Lepisosteus oculatus: one gene and its partner. The protein of the gene in region 2 interacts with the protein of the main gene of each other region in a pairwise test. Links are inferred from orthologs where the notes say so. Each region holds a gene or a part of one and is shown on either strand. Other genes may lie near its edges.

Region 1 (10,399 bases), about 52 Mb from region 2:
TTTTACACAGATCTAGTAGAGAAGTCATCACTAAAAAGATTTCTGCAAGCAAAATGTGTAACTGACACAATATTGTAGCTACTGTACTGTATATATAGACACTCTGTAACACTGCAATTGACACTATAGATCTGAGGTAAGCATGCTCATTTATTCTTTTACCCCATCTCTGTCAGTCACACATCTCATGGATGAAGCTTGGGGAAAAAACTGTCCTGCATCCAAATGCAGTAATTGTCAGTAGTGACCCCTAAGAAATTCCAGTGGTAAAGAACCCTGCATAAATACAGCTATGAATAATTCAGGAAGGTCTGTGCTTAGATTCTAATAAATACAATCCCTATTATCTTTGTTTATGATAGTAAAAGCTGCCAGTGTCCAACTGAAATTATGGCATTATTCATAAGAATATTATAACTTATGTTGATCCCCAAGGTTTGTTTTTAATTGTAGATGATGGAGGCCACTGCACCTTAAATATTTATAGAAAATTCTGAGCAAGAAATCACATCCACATATTTAAACAAATCTGAAAATAAAATGAAAAAAATTCTTCCTAGGGATGCTACTAAGGCCATGTTAATAATTACAGAGAACTGAAAAGCAATTAATTAATAGAACTAGGATTATTGCAGACAACAGTTTTTATAAGAGGGAAAAAGTGTCTCATTAAAATGTCTACATTTAAGTATGTTCTATTCATGGAGCTGCATGTCAACAAATCAGTTTTAAATGAATTATTAAAAAGGCTGCATTTAAAGGTATAACAAACTTCACTGATGGAATGTCATTTCGGCTTCTTTAGTAGCTCATACTGTACATTTATGTAACCTATAATGTATGTCTTATTAACCAAGTATTATATCCTGTGCGTGTTAAGCTTCACTATAATAAAACTTCTTCCAAACTGTATGTTGGAGTCTACTTGACTTGTTCTTGTTTTCACGCCAGTAATATCCTTTAAAAGGTACTGAAATGTCCATACTCCACATGGTTTTTATAGACTTGTGAAAAAGGGAGGCAGACCACTTTAGAAATCTTTGTTTCAGTTACTGTACTGTATGTCCCGTTTCAGTTATGAGAGAAAGGGGGGACTCTTAGTGCTCCAGATCTAATTACTGATAATGCTTAAGCTAACAAAGCAATCTATATTCCTCATTTCTTTCTGTCACTTTTTCAAAATGTTACAAAGCCCATTATATAATGAAATGGATGTTAACAACAAAATTAAAATAGCACATTAACAAAAGGTATTTTGCCAGCTACAGTATTTGTAGGAGCAATATGAGCGCACAGATGCTAAGCTTCAGCTTTGTCAATAATTGTCCATCTCTAAGAAAAAATCATGAAATTAATTACCATTACGGGCGCCACCATGACACAGATGATATGCTGGATAGATTCTGCAATGTTATTAATGTACAGTGAATATTTGTTTAATAAAAAAGGTTAGTGTTTCAATATAGCAACTTAATAGTTTTAACTGTGTTATATGCAGCAGAAAAAATGGTCTTTTTAATCTAGAGATATGATACTGCAGGAGAACCACAGAAACACTGAGGTTCTTTCACATTTTTATTTCATTTCATTGTAACAGTGAATCCTATGGACAGTTAGGGCGAAGAGAGTGCTTGCACTTCACTAACATTTTCTCCATTAAGGATCCAATGACTTTGAATGATGCGGATTAAGGATTTTACAGAACTCTTATTTTTTAAGACTGATTAGCTGTTAATAGATTTAATACATGCATATAGAGCTATTATATGACTTACTAAAAAACGTGGTCATTTGTAATAGAGCGTAACTTCCTTCAGAAAGTAGTTTTTATCACAAAAAGATTACAGAGATACTGTAAAAATATGAAGATGGCCCCTTTAAAAGAAATGGCTTTTAAAAACAGTCTTGTCGGATGTAACGTAACCCTACAGCTCATACGCTAATGACCCTACCCGTAACAATTAATTAGACTAAGTCCAGCCAGGAAACTCTGGCAGTCTCAGAAAACAACAACAACAACAACAAAATAATTTAAAAAATAGAACCAGAGTGAAATGCAAAAGCAATACTTATTTGTTCATATACTTATCTAAATGCTTAAAAATTTCTATCTAGTAACCAATAAATCATGCATAACTATAAATATTGTTTGTTATAAGTCTCTGTTCATACAGGCCATGAAACTCACTTGTAAAAATAGACTGAAAAGGATGGATGAATGCTCATACACTCAAATACTGTACATACCTATGGATTTTACATTTTTCTTAAGTGAAAAAACATTTATGTACGTAAACGTTTAAAGTCCTCCGGGGGAGTAATAAAGGTCAGTCTGCCTTACTCACAGGCTTCTCTCCTAAAGCAATTTCTAGAATAAATCCACTCTCATTTCCAAGCTCTGAAAGCTGCTTCTTCTAACCCTTCGGTTTTTCATTTGCAAGGTATAGATAAACAGTGGATGCACTTTCCAGAAGAAGGTTGTTAGTTAATCTTAAAACCTACCCATTTTTCCTAATGAAATTCCTGCCAGCAGGAACAGCTGTTTCAACTTATATTTATCAGTATAAATGCAAACAATATAATCAGTACCAATAACAGTAAAATTAACAATACTAAATTATATACAGTAGTAGCACACAGCACAGCACATTACCTGGGAGCTAATCCTTGTTTGCCTATTTCCAGAGTTTATATCCTGTGGTGAACTCTGATTCTGCTCTTCTCCTCCTCGGGTAAAATAGATCTTAAACTGGGGCTGCCTGTTGTTTTGTTCCTGTCTGATTTTAAAGGTGCAACCTTGCAAAGCATCATCCACATTCCTACTCTGGCCCTCAGGGTCCTGGTTTCTTCCTGGAGTGTCCTGCCCATCTCCAGCACTACTCTGAAGTAGTGGGGTGACAGCTCTGGGCTGCACCGGTTGCGAGGTGCTCCTCTCCAGTCTTATTCGGGGATACCTCACCACCCGCTCTCCCTTGGTGCCCGTGAACCCCAGATCTGCCCCCTCTGTCCGCGAGCCCTTGGGGATGCCAGCTTGATTTGGCTGGAGCTGAACTATGAAACGTTGCTTGCCCAGGGTGCCATTAGAATCCTGGTGGACAGACCAGCGGCGGTGGGGACCATTCTGCCCCTGGGCTCCACAAGGCAGCATTTGAAACTCTGAGCCCCCAGTAGAATTCCTCTGAATGCAGAAACCACCAAAATTAATTCCACTGGGTAGATCTTCATTCATCACTCCTGGACTGCTGTGGCCATTTTGGCATTCTTCAGGCAACATACAAAACACCCTACGATTGCGTGAACTGGGATCACCAGACAGGTTCCCAAATGCTGGAGTCCATGGTGAAGCTTCATTGTTTCTGGGCATGTCTGTAGGCAAGGAATATTTCCTGTTGGGCTCCCTGTAGGCTGGAGCTGGGCCCAGGAAAGACTCGGGACTAGGAGTAGGAGACTCTTCTTCTTCTCCATTTCCAGGGATGCGCTGCAAGGAGATCTGCATTGATGAGCTTTTTGTGGGCCGAGGATCTATCGGGTTTGAAAGCTGAGGGATGAACATAGAGGAGCTACGTTTCAGGAAGGTTTCTCCGGACAAGGAGCTTTCAGGATCGGAGAAAAGAGGTAAGCCTCTCCTGCGAGGCAGTGTGTGGAATGTCATGGCAATGTCGTCTTCTGTTGCCCCCTCCAGCTCCTCCATCTCAGGGGCTGTGTTGCTACGCCCGGAGCCAAAGTAAAGCCTCAGTCGGTGGGCCATGTTGAGCCTCTCTCTCCCTTTGTCTGATTCAGTTTCTCTCTCTCTTCCCTCAGTGAAGGGAGCAAAGCAGAAGGAGTTCACGCCACAATAACAAGAGAGGCACTGCCAGGGAGTTAAAAACTCAAAGCTGCAAACTCCAGAGGAAAAAAAAAAAGTGTCCCATCTGCCAAACTGTTAGCACTGCAGGCTGATAGCGACAGATAGCAGAAATAGCCCAAGTGACAAGCAGCATTCCAGGCATGATTGGATAAGGGCACTCGGCGCTCCTACACACTGTGACATGGGGTAGGATGGCTGTGGTCACGTGATGCAGTTCCCCTCACCAATACTTGCCAGTACATCTCTGGTTTTAAACAGTCCCAGACTGAAACAGCACCTTCTCAGCTGCTCCTTATCCATCAGAAAGGAGAGGGCCCCAGTGGGAGAGAGAGCGCTCACAGCTGAGTAAGGCAACACAAATTCAACACAGCTATAAATCTTAAAACCACATCCTACAAGCAGGGGACGTTGGATGGGTTCTGGACCATGCTTTTCTGTGGTATCTGGGATTTAAACACCAGTAGAGTTCTAGTATTGTAAAATTGTACTAACTGTAACCATTTCTTCAATGTTTAAGAGAAAAAAAAAACATTTATATCACAATCTTGGAATTCAATTTAAGTTCACTTTTTGACATCAGTACAATTATCATTAGCTTAAAAACTATTCAAAACTAAAATATAGTATAAACCCAGATGTGAAACATAAATAAAATACAACTAATAATAAAGTGCCTTTAAAATACAAACATATTCCCTTTTACCATCAAAATGTACAGTTGAGGAAAGATATTTTCTTTTAACCAGCCATATATGTACAGCACTTTACAATATGTTGCTTTAATCTACAGGCAGAAATAAATGTGGCATATTGTACGAGACTGAAATGAATACATCTCAGTCAATTCTTTTATATGAAATAAAACAAAAAGAAACAAAATGAGTTTTCAAAAACATTTCTAATTTACACAGACTTTTTTTCTGAAAAAGGAAATGTGAAATCTGAGATGACCAGATCACAATCTGGTAACATATTTGCCAGAATTCATTGTAACAACAATATAGTATTACAACTATATTTTGTTTCTAAAAAAGTTATATTATTAAGTTTCACATTCTAGTAACAGGGAGTAGATGTATGGACTTGTACAGTCAACAATCAAAAAATACAGAGGGTGAGTGCCAATTTGGATTATAAAAATAAATGGGTCACAAACTCATAAACATTAATTACTTTCCAGAATTTTATAATGCATAGGCTTATACTGTAGGAGTGATTACTTTTCAAGAAATCATTAATGCTGCATTAGAAATTAAAAGGATTCCAATCTGGTCTTTTAAAGCTGACAATCATTAGGATAGCTTTTTTTTTAGTGCCAGTATATTAGCAGCTGAGATAGCCTGTTACCCTAGCGTATAAGACTTTCTTTGCAAAATACAATACAGTGAGTTGATGACAGCCTAACGTCTTATGGTGTGTCGTGAAGAACTCATAATGAAAGAATGCAGTTATTCATTCTAATGGGAGCTCTCAGAATGGATTGTTTAGAGAACGCGAAAGGTTGTTGCTAGCAAGTCAGCAGTTAGTTTATGGAATAAAAAGGAACATTGTGTAAGCAGTGCAACTGAATATGTTGTTTTGTGTTCATGTCAGTGCAGTTTAGAGCATATGAACATGCACCTGCACAAAGTTCAGGGATACAGGTGCTTGCAGCCTGCAGAAATAAAATCTTTTTGTCTTCATTTTAATGTGATTTTACTTACAGTACAAATTTGTTTATTACTCTTTTCCTTTTTTTACAAATAAGCAAGAAGCCTCATTTTCAAAGTTGTTAAAAAAGAGGGTGTAGCACCAGAACTAAAAAAATGTTAACCCAGTATTTGGTTTAACAGTGTGCTGGAGTATTCTAATCATTTTTCCTCTCATTGTCTGTGTGCCTGTAACTTACAGTAGTCACTGAGACATTAGGCGTCAATTTTGTGTGCAAAGCAAAGTAATTAGTTGTCATTAAACAATTATCCCATTTTCCGTTGTCTTCTTAATATATAAGGAATCTGGACAAAGAAGACAACAAATGGAAAGGATTCAACTGTTCAAAATTCTCAAAGGAAAAGACAAATTCAACCCAATGGAGGTTTACAGAATTGAAATGGAAACATGAACCTGTAGAAACAGATCAAAACTACAGGGAACAGGAGGCATTTTTTGTAGAAAAAGGTTTGTGGACCAAATCAGGAACATGCTACCCAGATACTTTATGTTACTGAAGTTAATACCTTGGCTTCTTTCAAGAGGATGAGATCTTTGGATCATTTATCTAGTAACAGAGCGAATGAGCTTAGGGAATGGCCTCTTATGTATAAACGTTCTTATTTTCTTATGTTCTGTCCATTTCTACAAATGCAATATATTTAATAATATAATTGAAGTCCAACAACCTTATGAATCTTTAATATTATAATTAAAATAAACTTTTTGGGATTTATCACATGACATACTGTAGCTGTTTAAGTTAACAAGTAACTGATTAATAATTTTTGGGCCATTTTAATTGAGGACAACTAATCAATCCCCAAATCCCACAATGGTATATCATAAAACAATATAATACAAGCATGAAGTGATTAACTTGTATTTATAAAAGGTAAGTTTTATAAGAATATATGCTGTGGTGTAAAATCAAGGCACTCCAAGATTCCTGATCCTAAATGTTTCTCTTGCCCGACTTCAGCATATCCCAGTGTGTTGACGATCGAGTCACAATCAATTATCAATCTGCACAACCAACTTCTATCAATAAAGAACGTGAAATGCATAAATCTATACAGACATCCTTTATAAAACTACTTTTTTCACTGTACAACATCTTTGATTTAAAATCACATAGGCATTAAAATCAGTTTCCACATATTTCTGTAGAGAATAGCCAGTGTTTTGGCAACCATACAGTCTTTCATCCTGTAACTTGAGGATACAACAACAAAGAGACGAGAATGTTTTTTCTAATGGTCAATTTGGGTGAAATACCTATTTCAAATATACTTTCCTGTTTATTAAACAGTCCTAGTGTTTGAAGACTACCTGAAACCTCGCATGTCTTAGGATAAGGAATTACACTAGCAGAGGCTTTTGTAAGCTTTATTTTTAGAGTGTGCTAGAATAGGTTATCACGTACACATATTTATCCTGACAAGCTTTGCAAGACTTAAGGAATAATATGTTGGGTAATTAAAAAGAGGTTGAAATGCTTATATTATCTTTTAATTAACAGAACTTTCCTCTGTTTTTTTAGGTTTCCAAAATGGAAGGCGTTAAATCAAACTTGACACAGGTTGGATGGCGAAAGAAACTAAACACTACTTCTAAACAGCTTTAACTCCATCCTGGCACCAGGAGAATAGAAGGCAACTGTCTCACTAGCTTTCAGATCATTAACACCAGATCAGGGCCGTTGTGTAATAATGGAGCCAATCTCGAACATACAAGGCCTTTCTCATGACACTCATCAAACTACATTGTAAACTATAAAATCTGAAATTTACATAAAAAAACATAAATAAGCGAGGCAGCTATACAGTATTCCAATGAAGTGAAAATGAAAGTTACCATGAAAAAAAAGCTAGAAAAAATTAGAAACAGCTTTTGTCTAATAGCTAGTTTAAAATTCACATCTCTTCTGTGTTATCACATCAGTCTGTCCCTTCAACAACATTTTTTAAGGAATGAGTCAAAATTGCAGTACAAATTAAATAGAAAAGATCTGCAAAGTTAATACATGAAAAGGGAACTCTGCAAAGGAAAAAACAAGGTAATTGTGTGTAGGATACCATGCAAACCCTTCCGTATCAAGAGGAAAAGAAACTATTTACAACAACCAACCTAAACATTAATGTATCAATTAGTCATTATCAAAACACATAACGCATTTAAGGAAGATAAAAATAATAAATGTCAAGAAAGCTTGTGTGGTGTTATTGGGCTTTTTCCTGAAATAGTATTTTAGAAGGTGAATTGTGAGGTTACTTACTAGAAATAATTGCTCTATTAACGAATTGAAAAAAAAAATCAATCAGAATATTAAGAAAATATGAATGATTATAGGATAACAGGTTATTATTTACAGTGATACCAACTTGCATCTTGGTACACTATTTGAAAATTAACATGAAATGAAGATTCTAATGGTAACATCACTAATATGTTTAACATTAAGATGATACTTCAGAAAGTGTAAAATAAAAGCAATTAGCTTAAACATTTGATGTAAATAAAATAAAATATAAATAAAATCACACAAAATTGAGAAAAAAACTGATTTATAAAGTACTGCTAATAAAGACCTCAGGCAAAATTAAAATATATTGTTTTTCTCAGCCTTTAAAATTTAATTAGCCCCCTTTTGACAAGCTCCCCTTTTGTTACTTTATTTTTTTTAATGACTTCTAAATAAGTTCTAAATAAGCTTACAGTTGTCCAGATTATTTTGCTAAACCAGCAGGTACATTACATTTATGATAAAAAAGTACTTATATATCTCAGAAACATGGCACCTACAATATTGATATACTGTAGGCCCTGCTTCCATTTTGTCTCAATGAGGAAATAGTTTTATTCTTCTTTTTCCATCCATCTTTTAACCGCTTCAGCCAATACAGGCTTGCAGGATGGGCCGGAGTTTATCCTGGCATGCAAAGGGCGCAAGGCAGAATACTGTACATCCTGGACTCACACACAATCACAATTGGGCCAGTTTTCCCAGAAGAAGCCAATTAACCTACAGTACAAGTGTGTCTTTGCACTGTGGGAGGAAACCGGAGCACCTGGCAAAAGCCCATGCGAACACAGGGAGAACACACTGTACAAGCTCACGCAGATAGCACCAGGTCCGGATCTGAACCAGCACCCAAGATCTGCCCTAGAAAAACATTTATGAACCAATAAAATATTCTACCATCTCTATGGCAATTGCAGCAATATTTCTTGTCATTTGAGCTCAGGGAAGTGATAATGGGGTGGACTGCAATACATATACTGCAGTAAATAAAACATTTATTGCTGTCATCACTGTAGAATTGTACAGTAGGTGAAAATACTGCCCGTGATCTTCATGCAGTTCTACACAAACTTTTATATGCAAAACAAAACTTACCAGCCTGTTTTCATCAAACACCTCGAAGAGGAGCCTGTGGTTGTGCGGGCTAACCTGTAGCATTAGAGAGAATAAATACATTATTGCAGTTTTATGGTCTCCACACATTTTTTAAATTTCATTCATTATCTCATAATGACCTTGATTTCTTCTCACCAAAGGTCTTTTTAATGTAATGTGTAAGATGACGATTTAGTGGAAAATATATTCCTGTCTGGCACACTCTTTCAAAGGGTGAGGGATATTATTCCTGGTATTTGGAAGAGTTTCTGAGGATCACATATACCTGGGTATGACCAACATTATCTAACACTGACGTGCAGCATGCACCTGAGTGATGGAAGTCCAACTCTGCAGCGTCTGCCCCACTACAGAACTGATCCCGCAGAGATGGAATAAATTAATGCTGATTAAAGGAGCAAATTATAATTAAGCCAAACTAAGCAAGAGAAAAGTAGAACTTAACATGGACACCAGAAGAAAACCTCTCTACTAAAAGTTCAAAGAGATATTTAATGGGAAGAAGTATCAAGGACATACTTTACACTAATACAAGAACTTCACTGACCAAATCTGTAACACACTCTTAGTGATGTAAGCAACCAACCTATGCAATTGCGTTAGTGATATCAAAGTCGACCATGGATCCATAAAAAACAATATTCAGTACAAATATAATAAATTCAAAGAATTAACAAGAAAGCAGTGTCAACCAACACATTCTCTCTGCTACTATCAGAGGTCCTACTATCAACAAACAGAGGGTGAACCCTTTGGAATCATTTGTATTCCTCCATTAGGTGTTTATACAATGTGAGCTACTGTAAGTCATATAAGTCATATGAATAGATAATGCCTACCTGATTAAACAAATAACACAAACAACTTTACTTTTCCTTGACTATATTGAACATGCTGTCTATGCTGGAAAAAAGTATGTGTACCTCTAAAAATAAATGTGAACCTCTAGGATAATGACTTGTGTAAAAGGGGGTAATTGGAGTCAGGAGTTCCAATCAATGATGTGACATTCAGGTGTGAGTTTGAGGTCCCCCTGCCCTATAAAACATCCCACAAAGTTTAATTACCAAGAGTGCTCTTTACACAACAGAAATGGTCAAAGTGAAACATGCCCCGATCAAAAGAGGTTTTAGAGCACTACTTCTTCTAGGTGCGGAATCTGCTTTTGAAGAGCCCCTATATCATGAAGCCTTTCAGGCAGGCCTGATTCTTTCCATGTACTGTATTGCATACATTAGCTGCTGATATTGGGAGGGCATTAGTGACTCCTCTTGGGCTGCTGATTCCAGATTCATCTCCAGGCCCTGTTGGAGATATCTCTGGTTGTAGTCAGCTTCTGCCAGAGGAAGCCACTGCTATCCAACCAAAATATGTTTGACAGCATTTTGATGTTTGCATGTGATACTAAGTTTCATGGTAGACAAAGCACTAAAAAAAAAACA
Region 2 (10,258 bases):
TGCCGTGCTTGCCCTCAAAGGAGGTAGCCAGAGGTCTGCGGGGGAAAGCAGGAGGCCGAGATTCAACATTCCTGCACGGGCGAGACCACACCTGGACAGACGAAACACCGCGTGCACAGTTCCTGCCTCCTCTCTACTGCTACTCCGCCATCTGCTCAGAGAAAAGCAACCTGGGACTTCTGGGCCTTAAGGGCCACATCCCACATTGACAGGCCAGAGGGAACGGAGTCTCTTTAGTCTGAGGGCAGTGTTCCACATTGACAGGCCAGAGGGAACCGAGTCTCTTTAGTCCGAAGGGAGTGTCCCACACTGACAGGCCAGAGGGAACCGAGTCTCTTTAGTCCGAAGGGAGTGTCCCACACTGACAGGCCAGAGGGAACCGAGTCTCTTTAGTCCGAAGGGAGTGTCCCACACTGACAGGCCGGAGGAACTGAGTCTCTTTAGTCTGAAGGGAGTGTCCAAAACTGACAGGCCGGAGGAACTGAGTCTCTTTAGTCTGAAGGGAGTGTCCAAAACTGACAGGCCGGAGGAACTGAGTCTCTTTAGTCTGAAGGGAGTGTCCAAAACTGACAGGCCGGAGGAACTGAGTCTCTTTAGTCTGAAGGATTCTTTCAGGAAACAGATGGATGAGACCCCTGGACTGATTAAACAGTTAACCACATTGCTCTCATAGGCCACATGACCTCCTCTCATCTGAAACGGTTTTATATTCTTACTGGGAAGTTTCAGAGTTGCATTAGGTGGCTAACTTTGTTTTTATTTTATTCCAGAAGACAAAGACTGACAGCTTCAAAATCTATGAAGTCTGGGAGAGCAAATAAACATCTTTCAAGTAGACTCACGTTTGTGGAAGCTCAAGGCTGAATGCATACTCGTGTCTTCCTGAATGGATAGTGGTGAGACTTTCTTCAGAGTTGTCCTCATCTGAAACAAAGGAAAACAAAATTCCAAATACACGTATACCATACCTGTGAAACAGATATGAGGGTCGCTGTATGGAAATTAAAAAAAAATAAAAAACAGTTCAAAACACATTTCTAGGTAAGGAAAAATACCAGAATTGAAACATTTTAAAACATCACTGCAAAAAAACAGAAACAAAAGACGGATAAAAATTACACAGGTCACAATTAATTCTGGAAACCGGATATGTTAAACATTTATAAATGTAGATAAAAAAAACAGGAAGTCAAGTCTCATAAAAAAGGTTCGATGTGTATTTGCATTGAAACCAGTTTCCTAGAACAAAGGTAATGAATCTCTATTAGTCTCCAATAAACACCCTCATAGGCAGAGCAGCTCCACTCCCGCGCCCATGAGCATGAAGAAAAGGCGATAGGGGGCTAGTCATGGCAAACAAATTCCCCCTTATTCTCCTCCTGAAAAACATCAGCATTCCCTCTCCCCGTCAGTGCTCACACACCACTTTCAAACGACCCCCCAACACACACTCCTGAGGCGCTACAAAGGACCCATCGCAGTGCTCTCCCCACCAGAGCGCCCGCTCATTCGGACACGGCCTGGGAAAGAGGTGGGGGGGTTGTGGCATTTGTAACAAACTCCCTTCCTTGAAGGAGACCCACTGCCCTTCTTCCATTTCAGAGGATTGCGCGAAAACAAGAGACAGACTAGTTTTTGCTTTCGTCTCATTTTTGCGTTTGGCACAGTTTGACAACTCCCAACAATTGCTTTATCGGGTTTTTTTTTTAAATTGCGTTTTAAAACGCACGCATGCACAGCTTGTGAGAGACACACACACACACACCGGGCGCCTCTCCCCCAAAGTTACAATTCTGCCAGCTCAGCGCCAGCGCTCTGCCCCTGCCTCAGCAGCAGCAGCTCGGTCCTGGTAAACAAGTGCTGAGCTGTCAATCACAGACAGACTCGAGCAGGAGAGGACCGGCCTAAACCGGCGCGAGCAGCTCCCCCGCACGCACGCACTGCAGAAACCGAAGCTGCTCGCTCCCTCGCGGCGCCCCCTGCCGAGCCGCCCCGCGCACTGCAGCCGCCCCAGCGCCCGGCCGGCCTCCGTAACAGACCCCTCCAGGTGAGAAAATCAAGAGACCTCCCCCCCCCCACACACACACCACACCACAGAGAAAATGCACAATAGCAAATAAAGACGCAGGAGGCGGAACAAGTTAGAATTCATCTCGCTTTTATTTTGTTAGCGGCGGGTTTGTTTGTTTTTTTTACACAAGGGGGGGGGAGACAGCTTTTTTCTTCCCCTAAAGCAGCAGAAAGGTATAAATATACAAAAAAACAACCAACCAAGGTTCACATTGAGATCATACAGATGAGATACATGCCAGGAAGGGGCACCACTGCGGTGCTGCTCCCACAACATAAGCGTTTCGCGTCTTACATCAGTGTACAAAACACACAATAAGTACAGTCACATCCCAAAAGAAAGAGCTGGAACAGGCTTGTCCGGTGCCTGTCCTCCGGACTGAAGCGCATTACAGTTTAGAAAAGGGTGAGAAAAGCGACCAGACCCGGCTGTAGAAGAGTCTGGTCGGAACAAGCATGGAAATCACGTGTCAGTCCGCCGCGCAGCTGATAACTTCTAGTCCAATCAGGCTCCAGCACTGCCTTGGCAACAGGACTAACAAACCCGGCTCGGCCAATGGGCGCCCGGCGGGGGCGGGGCCAGCCCAGCCGGCCCGAGCGCACCAACCCCAAGTGTCCAAACCTGCCGAAAACTTTCTGAGCTTTCTGCGCACCGCGACGGCGGTGTAAACACAGCAAAATAAATAAAATAAACATACAAAAATCAAAGTGTGTACGCGCGGCGGTTCGCCAACCGCTACAGCTGCCCTTCCAGAGGAAATAGCCAAAGTGTCGTGTGTTTAATTTGTGTGTTTTAGAAATGGAGACGGCGCTTAAGGGAGTTTAGTTTTTGTCGCCCATGCCGCTGCGGATTAAAACGACACAGACCACCGGACCGCCAGGAGCCTGGCTCCAACTCCGGGGGTCTGCGTGCTCGCAAGTTCCCAGAAACTGCGATTCAACGACTGGCACTGCCTGCGCCCCTTAAACTGCCGATGGGGAAATCTCCGTCCCCCGGCCCCCCTTCCGCCTCCGGCATACAAGAGAGCGCAAACCGGGGGTCGACTCCTGGGGCAGCCGTGGAGGAACCGGGGGTTGGGGAATGGGAGCTGAACCCAGACGTGCGCCAGGAAAAGACAGGTGGGGATGCGCTCGCTCAGCCCTGCAAAGGCATGAGGTCATCGCCGCACACGTGACCGCGCCCAGCCAATCGGGGGGCGAGAACGGCAGAGCCCGCTGCCCCCCCCCTCCTCCCCAGCAACCAGTTTCTGAACAGGATTGAACCGCTTTTAACAAAGGGTGGAAACTTAAGGAAATCATCTTTTTTGGGGGAAAAAAAGCCAAATGTAACAAAGATTTAAAACCCAAAGAGCCCGGGCATAACCCCGGGTTCCCGCATACGTCCAAGGACGCGGCGCCGTGAGCCGTTTCTAATTTCTTTTTACCAAATTTCACGTTTACCGCATTGACTCCTGCTGTCCCGAGAGTCGACACGAGTTCTGGTCTAAAATGAACTACTTTTAAAAAAAAAAAATCTATATATACACACACAGTACATTAAAAAAAAACAACGACAAGTAAGCAGTTAATTGTCTTTCGTGGTGTGTGAAGTACTCGCAACCTCTCACTGTCCGAAAGATGAACGGGCATCTTCTTCCAACTACACATCCCAGCCTGAAATTCCTTCAGATATTTCCTGTCAGTATTAACAGCGACTGCATTTTAAAAACCGGACCCCGACTGGCAAAACTACCTAGTGTATTCAGAGCTCCGTGGAGGCGATTCGGTTTCTCTTTTCACTCACACTGCCTTGCCTGACCTAACCTGCAGCCCACTCGAGAAGTTCGCTAACCCACTCGAGAGGTCCAGGACCTCCAACGCTCACTTGAGGGAGAGGGGAGACGCTCATTTTACACACAATATTCGACGAAGGAGGACGTGCAAATCGATCTTGCACTCCTGGGGCCGGAATGAATGAACTACTGGGATATGGGGGGCATTCAGCCGAGCGTCTCTCTCTAGCCAAGGGCAGAATTTCGGTGCAACTACCATGACAGCCCCGGGATCACGGTCTTCAGAGGACAGGGCAGCTCACGGAAACGTGACATTTCCACCCCCCAGAGTCCTTAAAAAGAAAAGGCAGAAGCGGCGCGTTCCCCCTTACCTCTCTCGTGTCCGATCAGGATGTCCCTGTGGTTCAAGTACTCCACTTCCTCGGTGTAGTTCTGCGTGTACGCCGTGTTGGACCCGGCGTTCCTCGACTCGGTCCAGCGAACTTTTGCAAATCCTTTCGCGTGGATTTTCAGGGACTTGACCCGGATCTCCCCGGTGACTTCAATGACGACTCTCCCCGAGACCGAGTCCCCGCTGGAGAACACGGCCACGGCGCTGTCATTCAGGCAGTCGTAGCTGACTGTGAAACTCTTCACCTTGCCTAGCACCATGGTTTCGGGTTTTTTTTTTTGTTTTGTTTTTTTTGTTAAGAACACATAAAAAAAATAAGGTCTGAGCAGACAGCCACGACCAAATTAAAAAAAAAAGTGATCGTAGCAAAGCACGCACACACACACACAAACAAACAAACACACTGATCGACGCCTTTGCCGTGCAAGAGCTGCAGGCAGGATCAGTGCTTCCCTCGCCAGCCGTTCATTGAGATGCTGGTAGGCTAAATAACAGCACTCGATGCTGTTATCGCGCACCTCCTCCTCTCCGTGGTCTCTGTACAAAGACGAGCTGCTGCTCCGGTTCCCCTCACTTAAAAGCGAGGATTTGGTGAAAAACAACCCCACCGCGCATGCGCCGCGCTCCCCCTCCCATCCCTCCTTCCCAGCTCCTTCCGCCTCCCGCGAGCGAGGGGGCGTGGCTCCGCTGACACCTGGCCCCGCGCCAGCTGACTGGAACAGCTGATCGCGAGCCGCCCGGCCAGCCCGCGTGCGCGCCCCGCGCCGGCGGCTCGCGCCTGGCCGAGCCCTGGTTTTTAGACATGCAACACCCGGTTAAACACACAAACAAACAAACAAACAACAGCAACACCGCGATCAGCCCTTTCGCAGAGCTGCCTGTCTGTTTAGCTGTGTGGCGTGAACGCTGCGAGTTCGCAGCGGAGCGGCGATGCGTGACCTATTGCAGCATTGTTTGGATGCACAGTTTGGAGCAAACTAATGGAGTTTAAAACATCAGATCGTTTTTTTTTCTTAAGCGTATTAAATCGTCCGCTCCACATAAATACAACATCTCTGACTTTCATACTTTTTAAATCCACTGCAGCTTTCTCCCGATCAGCAGTTTCTGCCGCCGCACTGTGAGGGAAAACTACACGGCGCTGCTCGCCGGTTCGTCAGGAAGCAGCAGCAGGGAAAGCGCTATGCAGCGCCACCTTGTGGCAAATAAAAGTGCGCAAAGCACTTGTGCCTGTTGTGTACCTGTTGCACGCAAAGCTGTTATAGAAACGTTCACAGAGCTGCAGTGTTGAGCAGTTGCATCACAGATGACGGTTTTTAGTTACTGTAGTTAGTGTTTGATTGCGAAGCCTAAGTATTGTAATGCCATTTTGTTGTTAAAATCAATTTGGTACATTTCGAAGCAGTGGATACTAGCCTGTCTCAGGTCTAACAATATTTCGGAACAGATACTGGTTCGGTTCTTGCTGAAAGGGAAAGCAAAACGAAGGAACACGGCTAAAACGTTGTGCTTCTTTTCTTTAGCTTTCAGCAGGGAACAGACCTTTACCTGTGTCCCTTTGCAGCCTACGCATGGTGACGCAGCCACGTTCTCAAAAGAATAGTTGTTTTTCCCCTTTTATGCTCCACAGACAGGATCCACGTCCCCCAGCAGTGAAGTGCAGCGCCACCTAGTGTTGGATGCAAGCGGAGAAAGGACATCGCCAGGTGAATTAATGAGAATTTCAAGGAGGGCACATAGTACAAACCCGGAGTCGGAATTTAGCTCTGCTCCTACAGACAAGGACAAGTTCACGGACAAGGGGTCTTTAGCGAGCAAATAGGACCTTCGTCTAACGCCTCCTGTGAAGGAGAACACCTACACGTGGCACACTGTCCTGGGGATTTTACTCGTTTGCAGAGCTGGATTAAGAAAGAACCTTGTAGATGCTGGGCACTTCTCTTTCACAGTCCCTGGATTAGGTGGAGGAGTATTTATAGGAGTTCTGATGTCTCAGATTAGATACGTGATCAAAATTATGTTGAATGATTTGTTTCAGATGGCCCATCGTCGCTGTGTATGGGATATATTCAAAAATATCTATGTTACAGTTTATATTATAGAAATATCTTAAAATGTGGACATCGATTTTATCCTAGGCTCGTTATCGTTATATTTCATATCGTGATCGTTAAATTATCATAGGCCCTATGCACAGTGCATGCTAGGTAATATGGCGCTGCTAGTTGGTCCATTAGCTCTGCGATGCATATCTGAGTCTTGTTATAACAATTTATTTCAAAATGCTTGTACTTGTTCTAGTAGGTCTTCTATGGAATTCTTCGGGATACGGCTTTGTTGAATGGGTTCTGTTAAATCACACCGGTAAACCAGCAGAAGGAAACTCAGTGTGGGTCAGTGTAGTTTGCTACGGTGAGAGTACGACATCTAGTGTTCATCTGGGGTCATAATTCCATTCCGAGTAAATACTTCAAAAGAGTACTCATTCTTAGCGATAAAGTATCGCGTTGAATACCTTATGTTTCAAACATATAATCTCAAAGTTTGGCTTTATCTTTATTGAATCTCATACATTATGGAGAAAATTTTATGGGTTTAATTTGATATATTTGCAGAGCTGTAGATCAGGTTACAGGCAGCAAAAACACAGATGATCAGAAGGGGGTTTTCTGGTGAATTACTCCGGTGAATTATAATAAAGGATAACATTGTGCGCACAGAAACACAGAATATCAAAACCAGAGGAAACCAAGGAAGATAGGAAAGAAACAGTGAGAAAAAAACATCTCCCTTCTCTTCCTTGAAGCCTGTCTCATGTGAGAGGACCTTGTCCTGGCCAGCCTTGGAGACCGAGTCCTGTAATGTGAACCTTGTTTTAATGAGACTGCTGTCCCATTTATTTAAAATGATTCTAGCTGTCCTGTAGCCTGTAGCAGGCAGCTATATCACCCTGCTACTCACAACTGGCCGCCCATGTGCGTCAAATTATACCTGCTGCTCGAGTTTATTCATTTTCATCATTTTAATTTCCACTTTGTGAGAAAGTCCAGAAACCCCTGCTATGGAGGTGCAGTCCTTGGTGTGATAAAGTACAGACCTTTATCACACCAAGGATTCTATTGAGGCTTTTATAAGAGTTCCTGCGCGTTTAATATTGAAGCATCATTACTGCTGAGCCATCATTAATTGTTTTAGTGCAGACGAAGGTCCCTCTCTCTCATGAGATAGGATTGAGTTAGAAATGCATTCGGCTCATTCCAGCTCACCCCAGACAATAATAAAGTATAAACATTCTGCACACAGATACACAGTGTAAGAAAACAGGTGGGAACTGAAGGAAAACAAAATCCCATCTCCTCTTCCTTAACACCTCCAGCTTGCCCTGGTCCTGTAATTGAATGGTTTGTCCATCCCCAGTTGGCCAAGTGTGCAAGACATTGTCCAGGGGCATCTGTGGGTTTGACTTTGTTCGGACTGTCTCTCTCGCTGCAGCCATGTCGTGTCATATTTTTCTTCAATGTTGTACTTCTGGAACAAGTCTGAGAAACTAAGAAAAGTGTAATTTTCCAAAAATGAAAATAAAGATGTCTTGAATGGCAGGGCTGTGTGCTAGTGGGGTTCACCTCGGGATCACTGGGGGTTCCCCCTTTAGCATCTAACTGTGAGGACACCCCAAAGGCTCTGACACGCAGTGTCTTCGTGCCTCTTTTAACAGCAACGTGATTAAAACAACAGCAACTGAAAACCTGTTAGATTACTTGTTGACTAGAAACGCAATTTATATTTGTGGTCCTTTATATACGTTTGCCTTTCACCAGGGTTCAGAATGCAGTGCACGAAGATGAGTCAAAGTGTATGCTTTCATTATTCAAATAGAAACTGGGTAAAACAAACTACTACAGTAATAATACTAATTATAATAATTGCTTACACTTATATAGCGCTTTTCTGGACACTCCACTCAAAGCGCTTTACAGGTAATGGGGATCCCCTCCACCACCACCAGTGTGCAGCCCCACCTGGATGATGTGACGGCAGCCATAGTGCGCCAGAAGGCTCACCACACATCAGATATCAGTGGGGAGGAGAGCAGAGTAATGTAACCAATTCATAGAGGGGGATTATTAGGAGGCCATGATTGGTAAGGGCCAATGGGAAATTTTGCCAGGACACCGGGGTTACACCCCTACTCTTTTCGAGAAACACCCTGGGATTTTAAAGACCACAGAGAGTCAGGACCTCAGTTTTACATCTCATCCGAAGGACGGCACCTGTTTACAGTATAGTGTCCCCATCACTATACTGGGGCATTAGGACCCACATGGACCACAGGGTGAGGGCCCCCTGCTGCCCCCACTAACACCTCTTCCAGGGCAACAGTAACGTGTAAGTAAGAGAATACGGCCTTTCCACTCAGACTGGATGCCACCCTGGTCTCTCTTGTGGAGCAGCAAAGTGTCTGAGGGAGGGCCAGACCTCTCAGCCCTGTGTCCTTTGTGTCTGCTGCCCTCCTGAGTCTTCTGTGTTCTCTGTTCCTTGGCTGATTCTCCTCGAGACGCAGGAGCTCGCTCTCTGTGGGCAACGTGCACACCTATCCCACAAGGCTGCAGCGAGAGAGGGAAGGCTTACTGTGCCCCTGGAATCCTGCAAGCTCAACACAGAGTAGGGAGGAGATCCCAAAGCAGAAATCGAGGCCAGCTAGACGAGTGTTTGGTAGCTGGTATGTTAGGGGCTGTGGGCAGGGCTCTGTGGAAGACAGACATCCTCTGTGTGAATGTAAATCCCTTTGGGGAAAAATACAATGTCAGCTGAACAACAACAATAAGAAGTATGTAAGACAGTGGTAAAGGAACAGGTCTAGAAGGATGCTGAATAATTGCTAAATAGAAGTATAAGAAGATAATGGCTTTATATAAAATTATTTATGAAAATTATTATAGTAACAGATCTCTAATGGCCAGTGATCATTACATAACTGTGAATTGTTTGCTATAAAGAAGACATAATACTTTCTTTTAGTATACTTTTAATGGTTCTGGCATACTTTCTCGAGGTGTACCGCTGGTAAATAATAACTATAATGTCCCTATCAGTATACTGGGGCATTAAGACCCACACAGACCACAGGGTGAGCACCCCCTGCTGGCCCCACTAACACCTCTTCCAGCAGCAGCCTTAGTTTTTCCCAGGAGTCTCTCATCCAGGTACTGACCAGGCTCACACCTGCTGAGCTCCAGTGGGCTTCCAGCTGGGAGTGACAGGGTGACATAGCTGCTGGCATTTAGGTGCTGATTAAATATTTCACATAAATCATCAAAAGATTGTCAGTGAACGTTTTAATGATAAGCAAGTATCACCTTGAAAAAAAGCACAATTCCTGAACTCTTTGTATTTGATTTTTAAACCCCTAGTAAAGTAAATTACATATTTTACTTTATTTCTGAAGTCTGTATCTTTGATTAAATCCATTAAGCACCAGAATGCTGTATAACTACCCCAAGTTAATTAGATACCTTGGAGTGCATTAGTGTCAAAAAACCTCATTGTTACGAGTGAGTAGGAAGCTGAGAAGAAAAGGGTCAGGTAAATGATGAAGATTTACCAATCTAGTGCTCACAGGATTTCTTGTTTGCACAAAAAAGTGAGTTTGTAATGAGAGGGCATTATGTAAAAACACCTGGAAACAATACCAAATCCATAATCCGGCTACCTGCCTGCGCCATCAACAAGTTGTTTTACCTGCTGATAGACACATTAGCTTTCAAACAGCCGTCAGCGAACACTTTAACTAAGTGTACAATGTTCAAACTGGTCTTCAAAACTTTTAAACTTGTTTTCCAAGTGTCTCTATGTTGAATTCTATGCTCGTCTAAAACGTCCACATAAATCATTTAAATTCCGTTTTCTGTGGTGTAAGAAAGAGGAAATCAGAGCCGGGATTATGAAATTGAAATTTTGGATTATGCAACGTCCTTGGTGGTGAACTTGTTACATTTGTTCATTGAGCCTCATTTTAGATTCATAA

The links.
Region 1: the proteins of arrestin domain-containing protein 3 (region 2) and nedd4l interact in binary tests that used the Homo sapiens proteins (3 or more experiments, as listed by UniProt). The link is inferred for Lepisosteus oculatus from reciprocal best matches to the Homo sapiens genes ARRDC3 and NEDD4L.

What each region holds. Positions count from the first base shown.
Region 1 is NC_090698.1:20,485,025-20,495,423, forward strand, and holds the start of nedd4l (E3 ubiquitin-protein ligase NEDD4-like), read right to left. Parts: upstream 4,277-10,399; 5' UTR 3,749-4,276; coding exon 2,654-3,748; intron 1-2,653. UniProt on the Homo sapiens protein: E3 ubiquitin-protein ligase that mediates the polyubiquitination of lysine and cysteine residues on target proteins and is thereby implicated in the regulation of various signaling pathways including autophagy, innate immunity or DNA repair.
Region 2 is NC_090698.1:72,934,690-72,944,947, forward strand, and holds the start of arrestin domain-containing protein 3, read right to left. Parts: upstream 4,797-10,258; 5' UTR 4,494-4,796; coding exon 4,214-4,493; intron 925-4,213; coding exon 843-924; intron 36-842; coding exon 1-35. UniProt on the Homo sapiens protein: Adapter protein that plays a role in regulating cell-surface expression of adrenergic receptors and probably also other G protein-coupled receptors.